Linked DNA regions of Mus musculus. Each later gene encodes a partner of the first gene's protein in a complex. Links are inferred from orthologs where the notes say so. Each region holds a gene or a part of one and is shown on either strand. Other genes may lie near its edges. The genes, in order: Nsun4 and Mterf4.

What was found.
Region 2: the proteins of Nsun4 (region 1) and Mterf4 are in contact, whole or in part, in a crystal structure (PDB 4FP9), measured with the Homo sapiens proteins. The link is inferred for Mus musculus from reciprocal best matches to the Homo sapiens genes NSUN4 and MTERF4. Residues at the interface, in NP_950245.2 of Homo sapiens: Pro61, Ser62, Arg64, Val65, Leu68, Ser69, Glu70, Arg136, Gly137, Asp138, Ile139, Arg141, Asn367, Leu368, Met369; in NP_872307.2 of Homo sapiens: Tyr267, Glu269, Arg270, Leu271, Gly272, Arg273, Glu311, Glu312, Val315, Phe316, Lys318, Leu319, Arg322, Glu323, Glu326.

What each region holds. Positions count from the first base shown.
Region 1 is NC_000070.6:116,047,151-116,050,959, reverse strand, and holds part of Nsun4 (putative methyltransferase NSUN4), read left to right. Parts: exon of another isoform or gene 1-318; intron 319-1,737; exon of another isoform or gene 1,738-1,818; intron 1,819-2,295; coding exon 2,296-2,630; intron 2,631-3,809. UniProt on the Homo sapiens protein: Mitochondrial RNA cytosine C(5)-methyltransferase that methylates cytosine to 5-methylcytosine (m5C) in various RNAs, such as rRNAs, mRNAs and some long non-coding RNAs (lncRNAs).
Region 2 is NC_000067.6:93,302,868-93,307,429, reverse strand, and holds the start of Mterf4 (transcription termination factor 4, mitochondrial), read left to right. Parts: upstream 1-1,550; 5' UTR 1,551-1,584; coding exon 1,585-1,605; intron 1,606-2,323; coding exon 2,324-2,822; intron 2,823-4,527; coding exon 4,528-4,562. UniProt on the Homo sapiens protein: Regulator of mitochondrial ribosome biogenesis and translation. Binds to mitochondrial ribosomal RNAs 16S, 12S and 7S and targets NSUN4 RNA methyltransferase to the mitochondrial large ribosomal subunit (39S).

The DNA.
Region 1 (3,809 bases):
TCACAGTAAGAAGAAATAATGACCAGAATGCATGTTCTGACCAGAACAAAAACCCAGACGAGGGTAGAAGGTGCATTAACAAGACTGCCATCAGTAGTATCTCAGTTGTTACAATGAGGGCCAACTCCTCGTCTGAAGTCTTCAGTTCTTTTTTCAATCTGACTCAAGTCCTTCACTGTTGGCCAATAGCAGTCATTCTTCTTTAATTCTTACCTAAAGATTCTGTGAACTGTCTTTATTCTGCCTTCCTGGGAAACCTAAAACCTCTCAGCTCTATAATTCTGTGCATTACGTCGTCCAGTCACTGCATTATCTTAGGTGAGTGACTCATTGCTCTATCAGATGGGAAAGAGAATTATTGTTGTTGTTTTTGTTGTTGTTGTTGTTTTTCAAGACAGGGTTTCTCTGTGTAGCCCTGGCTGTCCTGGAACTCACTCTGAAGACCAGGCTGGCCTCAAACTCAGAAATCCGCCTGCCTCTGTCTCCCGAGTGCTGGGATTAAAGGCGTGTGCCACCACGCCCGGCAGAGAATTATTTGTATCCTATTGAGCACCACTGCCATAGAGCTCTCTCATAAGCTAATAGACAATAACAAGCTTTGAAAACAGGATTGTAAAGAATAGAAGTGCCAGGCATGGTGGCACACACCTTTAATCCCAGCACTTGGCAGCAGGGTCAGGTGGATCTCTGTAGTTTGAGGCCAGCCTGGTCTACAAATCAAGTTCCAGGACAGCTAGGTTTATGCAGAGAAACCATCTGTCATAAAAAGCTTTAAGCCTCAAGTTTCCCCAGGACCTTCACAGTTTCTTCAAAAGTTCTCCCTTGGGTTACTTAAGTACCCCCTTCACATTTGCTAGGTATAAATCTAGGGCCTTGCTTGTGCTAGGCAAGCACTGTTATACACTGAGCACACATCTCAGGTGCACACACACACATCTCAGAGCACACACATTGAGGTACATCTCAGATTAAGCCCTCAACCAATCTCTCCCTCCTATTTTTTTTGAGATGCTTCTATGTGTCTTTGTGTGTGTGTTTGAGATAGAGTATCTTGTATCCTAATTTGTCTTGAATTCTATATAACCAAGAATGACCCTCTTTTCTACCTCCAGAGCAGTAGGATTATAGGAGACTTTTTTTTAAAAAAAAAGATTTATTTATTTTTATTTATATGAGTACACTGTAGCTATCTTCAGACACACACCAGAAGAGTGCATTGGATCCCATTACAGATGGTTGTGAGCCACCATTTGGTTGCTGGGAATTGAACTCAGGACCTCTGAAAGAGCACTCAGTGCTCTTAACTGTTGAGCCATCTCTCCAGCCCCATATAGGAGACTTTTTAAAATGACATTTATTTATTGGTGTGGGTATGGTTTATGTGCATGTGTGCATGTATGTGCTACGGTCCACCTTGGGAGGTAGGACAATAAGTAAGGGAATCAATCCTTTCCTTCTGCCCTGTGGGTCTCAAAGATCAAACACAAGTAGTCAAGCTTAGTGGCAAAAAGCCATCTCAACAAGAGATTCCTGATGTATTACTCACCCTGGCTTCGAATTTGCTTTTGTAGCCCCAACGTTAGCTTTGAACTCTAGATCCTCCTGCTGAGTACTGGGATTACAAGTGCACCACTCTGCCTAGCATTGACTCTCTTTTTTGATGACCCCTAGAGTTACTATGAGAGGTATGTGTCCCTTCCAATCTGTGATATGAAGGCTAACTTCATTCTCTCCCAGTTCTTCCTTTGGTAGGCAGAAGCAAGATGCAAAGATAGGAGAGAGCACTGAGTGGACTTGAATTTGCCTTGGAGGTCTGAGGTATTGGTAGATATACTGGTTAGTTTTATGTCAGCTTGACACAATTTACCTAGAGTTATGTGAAATGAGGGAACCATAATTGATAATTTGCCTCCATAAGATCCAGCTGTAAGGCATTTTCTTAATTAATGATTGATGGGGGAGGGCCCAGCCTATTGTGGGTGGTGCCATCCTTGGGCTGGTGGTTCTGGGTTCTATAGGAAAGCAGGCTGGGCAAGACATGAGTAAGCAAGCCAGCAAGCAGCAGCCTCTGTGGGCTCTCTGACAGCTCCTGCAGTGCCTGCCCTATTTGAATTCCTGCCTTGGCTTCCCTCAGTGATGGAGTGTCACCTGGAAGTGTAGGATGAAATAAACCTCCTTCTCAAGTTGCCTTGGTCATGATGTTTCATCACAGCAACAGAAACTGCAGTAAAGTCACATGATAAGAGATAAGAGTCAAGACTGGAATGATTAATACACTTGCTCTTTCTCTCTTAGGCTACCACAGAACCACAATTCACGGCCAGTCGGCTTGCTCTGCAGAATTTTGACATGACCTACAGTGTACAGTTTGGGGATCTTTGGCCATCAATCCGTGTTAGTCTTCTCTCAGAGCAGAAGTATGGTGCATTGGTCAATAATTTTGCTGCTTGGGATAGTGTGAGTGCTAAGCTGGAGCAGCTGAGTGCCAAGGACTTCGTCAGTGAAGCCATCTCTCACCAGAAACTGGAGCCTGAGAGTGGCCTCTCTCCAACTCCATCCCTGGACTGCAGCCCAAATCTTCGATGCTTCACTTTTTCCAGAGGGGACGTCAGCCGCTTTCCTCCTGCCAGGTAGGGGCTGGAATGGTGGGGTCATTCTGAGTGCCTGGTACAAGTGGATCTGAAGAGCTCAGCCCTGCCCTCCAGTTTTGTTGGTATGTCTAGTGTTTGCAGACTAGGTGTTTGCCCAAGTGCTGTATGTGTACTCTCTCTCTTGTCAGTACCCTGATGGGAATATAATAGCTGCTCTTTTTTTATATTTGAGGTACAGAGAAATTAAGAAAGCTACTTGCTTTTGATCATCCAGAGAGCAAGTGGTGTATTTGGTATTTAGTCCTAGCAAGTTTGAACCCCAGAACCTGCACTCGGAGCCTGTTCTGCATTCTGCAGAAAACATCTACCTTTCACAAGAGCAACTCACTGCATCCTTCCCAGTGAAGATGTGTCTCCCCTTCTCCTTTGCCCTGTCAGCCACCTGTGAGAGGAGGAGGAGAGGAAGTGGACTCTGATAGGAAATAGGGGTTGCCCAGGAGTGCAAGTTAGTGATAGACCTGAAAAAAAACAGAACTTTGTCTCTTCCAGAGGTGGTGCTTGTGTGTATGAAGTTCAGTGGGAAAAGACTGTACAGCCAAGTGCTAAGTTGTGCTTTATGCCTTGAGAATAGGAAGGTGGATATAGTGGTATAAGCTTATGATACCAGAACTTGAATGGTAGGCTTGAGGCTGGAATGGAACACACACACACACACACACACTCCGGCCCTCTTCTCACTAATTCTTAAGGAAGCTTTGAGTTTTTATTCTTTTGTACCTTACTCATTCTTTTCTCTTTTGCCTAGAATGTTCTTCCATTTTTTTACCTAATGAAGGCCTCTGATTTCTTCATCAGGCCCAACTCAGGTAGCCCCAGTGCATATAGTTGATGACCATTCCCTCTGAACCAGTGAAGTACTTTGTATCTTAAAGTGTAACCTGATAAAATTGAATTCCTGCTATGTACCAGGCATGGTTTCAGGTCTTGGGAAGTAGTCCGGTGTCTTAGTCAGGGTTTCTATTCCTGCACAAACATTATGACCAAGAAGCAAGTTGGGGAGAAAAGGGTTTTTCAGCTTCCTTTTTTCACATTGCTGTTAATTACCAAAGAATGTCAGGACTGGAACTCAAGCAGGTCAGGGAGCAGGAGCTGATGCAGAGGCCATGGAGGGATGTTCTTTACTAGTTTGCTTCCCCTGGCTTGCTCAGCCTGCTCTCT
Region 2 (4,562 bases), on another chromosome or scaffold:
CATCTTGCTGACTAAACACAAGTCTGTAAACAACAGAACTTACCAAATACTTTTATCTGGGTCTAGATCTGTACATAACCATTTCAGGGAGAGTTTGGGCTGTCCTGAGAACTTATTGCTGTATTACAGTGTCCATCACAAACTACTTACCTCCTCTCTTCCTGTAAGCAGCCAGAGGTCATCTGCCAAGATGTTTCGCTACTCTCTTGACCCAGAAAAACCCCCCAAAATCATGCAAATCAAGAGGTTCAAACCTTCGTGTTCACTTTAAGAACACCCGGGAATCTGCCCAGGCCATCAAGGGTATGCATATCTGCAAAGCCACCAAGTATCTGAAGGACATCACTTTAAAGAAGCAATGTGTGCCATTCCGGTGTTATAATGGTGGAGTCAGTAGGTGCGCCCAGGCCAAACAATGCGGCTGGTCGGTGGTCAAAAAAGAGTGCTGAATTTTTGCTGCACATGCTTAAAAATGCAGAGAGTAACGCTGAACTTAAGGGCTTAGATTTAGATTCTCTTGTCATTGAACACATCCAGGTGAACAAGGCACCTAAGATGCGCCGACGAACCTACAGAGCTCATGGCCGGATTAACCCATACATGAGCTCCCCCTGCCACATTGAGATGATCCTCACTGAGAGGGAACAGATCATTCTAAAGCCAGAAGAGGAGGTTGCACAGAAGAAAAGGATATCCCAGAAGAAACAAGAAACAAAAACTCATGGCACGTGAATAAATTCAGCATAAAATAAATGCAGATAAAGTTAAAAAACAAACAAACAAACAAACAAACAAACCTACTTACCTCAAAGATGAGCCCAGGAACACAAATTTGGTTTTTCCAAAAGATTCTCCACCATGGATGAAGTTAGGTGAGATATTACTAGCTAGAGAATAAAGCCATAAATCAAGGCATTTACCAGACACATTGGTGGGGACCACAGATAGGAAGGATAAGGCAAAACTAGGAAAACACTTAACTCAGTTTTAGATATTATTTAGTGATGCTATTGGCTTTTGGATTGGTGAAAACCATTGTTGGTCTAGGAATATATTTTAAAGGTATTCATTGTCACAAAGCTGTTAAGTTAGACAGGTGGACGATGAATGGATTTCAAAAAGGCTAAGAATAATCCATGATAATTTGGTTTTGGTCTGCAGGATCCTAATTCCACAATCACAGCGTTATCTTATTTGGCCTTGTACTATCTTTAACACAGGTGATTGTTTTTTGTCATATTCTCCCCTCCTCCCCCGGCCCCAGTAAAAGTAGTTTCACAACAGAAAACGACGGTGTGCGCTTCGGGGTAGTTTGGTTTCACCTGTACTCTGAAGAGCAGTTTTAAAACCCAGGTAGTGTTGCTTGTTCCTGGCAGAGACCATGCAACCGAGTATGCCCAACTAAAGGGAGCTGCACCTGCAAGCTGCAGGTGCTGGGCACGAGCATCTGGGATCAAGGGCTTGGCTGCGGAACGAAAGAACGCCACACCCCGGGAGTTCGGCGGACACAGATCGGAGGCCGGACGTTGTGAGCCAGGAAGGACCGCCTCTTCCGGTCTCACAGTTGTTCTTCGCTTGGTCTCCATGGCTTCGCTGGGAAGGCAGGTGAGGTTGCCCTAGGTCCCGGGCTCACAGCGGCTGTTGGCGGGACGTTCAGGAGGCGCTGACGCTGGTTCTTGGTGTTCCGGTCTGGGCACCTTGTGGCAGTAGCGCTCCCGGGTGGCGTGTGCACAGACAGTGTGGCCCTCAGAATAGCTTCTGGCTTCTCCGGAGTTTCGGCTGTGTGCTGCCTAATGGCTAGGGAGGCCTGGACCACCACCAGCGGCAAGAGCGGGGTGTTTGAGACCATTCTGGCGGGCACCGGATGCTCTGTGCTTAATTTGTTATGTGCTAGTCCCAACACCTGGGGCTACTGTGTACAAATCGACAGATTCCTTCCCCCAAATATTCTTCTTTTAATGGAAGGGATCCTTGAAAAACAAAACAAAACTATCCTTTGTTGGAATGAAATTAGGTAGTGTACCTGTCTGGTGGCTAGTCTGAGGTTCAGAATTTTCAACCAAATACTATTGCTCGTGCCCTGTATCTTCAGTATGTAGATATTGCTTATGCTTCAATATCTTCAGTAAGTGCGGTCGTTTGCATGCTACTTTTATTCTTTGGAGACTTTTTAGACCCAGAGAAGATTTTACAGATTGTTTACAAAAACTGTTAGCTTTTGTGGGCCAAGGGTCAAGCTGAGGTTCAAGGTTACTGGCTCAGTAATCTTGTGGTGGTCATTATTCTGAGGTGGGACTGATTCTGTTTTTGCTCTGCCTTACAGGTTCCTGAGTGGCATCGTCTACTGGCCCTCTCCTGGGCCTGTTTGGTTAGGCAGACCCCTCATCTCAGAGAACAGAAACAGATGAGCCCTTCTTTGTCTTGCAAACTGACTACAGTGCCCGGTAGAGGAAGCTTTCAAGAGTTTTCCAGCATTACACCCCAAAAGTACATGCAGGAACCAGAAAACAGGACACGACTTGTTCAGTGTCTTCATGAGGAACAGAAGCCTTGTGTGGATCCTGAGTCCTTGGAGCCTGAAAAGGTCATCCGTTCCCTCCAGGACATGGGTTTTGCTGAAGCCCACATTCACAGCTTGTTTAGTATACAGCCAAGTGTCCATCCTCAACAGTTGCTGGGTATAGTTTCAGAACTCCTACTCTTGGGGTTGAACCCAGAGCCTGTATTTAATGCCTTGAAGAAAAATCCCCAGTTGCTGAAACTGTCTAGCATGCAGATGAAGAGGCGTTCCAGTTACCTTCGGAAGCTTGGCCTTGGAGAAGGTATAAGATGCAGCAGACTTTATAGAGGGAGAGGAGTCAGTTAGGGAGAAAATAGCTTACCCTAGCAGGGATGTCCAGCCTTTTGATAGTAAGGCATGGAATTGTCACCTACAAATGAGCTAGGCTGCATTCATCAATACCCTGGGATGCATGTGTGCTGTGGGCTAAACACACCTTACTCAGAGGAAGTGAGGTAGGAAAGTTTGCTGAGGAGAGGTCAGTGTCTTCAAGAAGATGTGCAGTGGGCTCTCTGCAGATGCCGTTGTAAGGGGGATGTGGGATAGAGGAGCCCAAGAAGAGAGAACCAAGGCCAAAGTGAGCCTCCTGTGTGTTCATTGAGATCTCTAGCTCCAGATCAATGGGGACATGGAGTCTGGTTTTGGTGGGTTAGTGTTGCTCTATGGTAGTGATGTATGTGTATGCAAATGTGTGACCTCCGCAAAAACATCCCACACACAGCTTTCAGAGCTGATGGTGCCCGGTTCCTGGAAGGCTGTTAGAGTGCCCTCCACCTTCCAACAGCTGTCACCCTTCTGGAGAAGGGAGGTGGGGCTCTCCAGTGAACTCTACCCATTTGACTGCTTTTATTTCATTACTGACTGTTCCTGGTAAGATTTCACCCCCAAAGTGGGGAGGCTTAGAGCCCACTGTGTTTGGTGTCTCGGCATGCCTCCTCTAGAAGATAAGCAAAAAGATAACTGTGTTCCCCTTGACACGTTGTCTCTTGTAACATGATCTAAGCCCAAGCTCAGTCAGTGTGTGAAGCACAGCCTGAGAGGAGAAAATAAAGCTTACTCTTTGGAAACGCCTCTTCACAGGGAAGCTAGGCTGTTAGGAAAGTTACTTGACAGTCTTAAGTGGCTTTTAAGTTTCCAGTTTTTAAATCGGCACAACTATTCATCAGAAGACCATTTGCTTCACTTATGAAGCCCTGCTTATATCATTTGTCTGAATACAGTTACTAATGTAACTCAGTAAAACACGGGGAGGCTGGGTGTGGTAGTGCATTCTTTTAATTGAACTCTATAGTCAGGAGGATGGAGCTCTGCAGGTTCCAGGCCTTCCAAGGAGACCCTACAAAACAAACAATAATACAGTTGGATATAACACATGGTCACGCTCAGACTACTTATAATTGTGTGTTCTGGATATTCTTGTTCCTACCATTGTTCCTAAAGGCCTCTTCATTGAGCTCAGACTCTCAAGTCTAGAGATTGTTAGTCTCTATACAATGTCTAGATTATACAGAGAGAAGCAGCAGCCTGAGCCCCACTGTGCAGGAAACCACTCTCCTCTAACATTCCCCAGTGAATCCCCGGGAAGCTTTCTATGCTAGGCAAGCAAGAGGAGACCTAGAGTATGAAGTTGCCGCCTTCAGATAGAAGACTAGAAAAAGGCAGGGACATAGGGAGGGTTGTTGGGTCTGTGAAGAGTCCTTTGCGTGGTGCTTCATGGAAAGTAGATCTCTGAATGGGCAGTCCTGTGGAGGGAGAGGATCCTGCTGTGCCCCCATGTGGGTGCCACAAGACAACTTCTAGAGTTGATTGTCTGCTGCCACAATGTGGGTCTTGGGGATTGAACTCAAGTTTCAGGTTTGCTGGCAGGTGCCTTTACCCACTGACTCATCTACCAGCCCCTAAATGTTGTTTAGCCCTTGGCGTTCGGGAACATGCCAAAGTTACATGCTTTGCTTAACACTCTACAGGGAAACTGAAGCGGGTGCTGTCCGTTTGCCCTGAG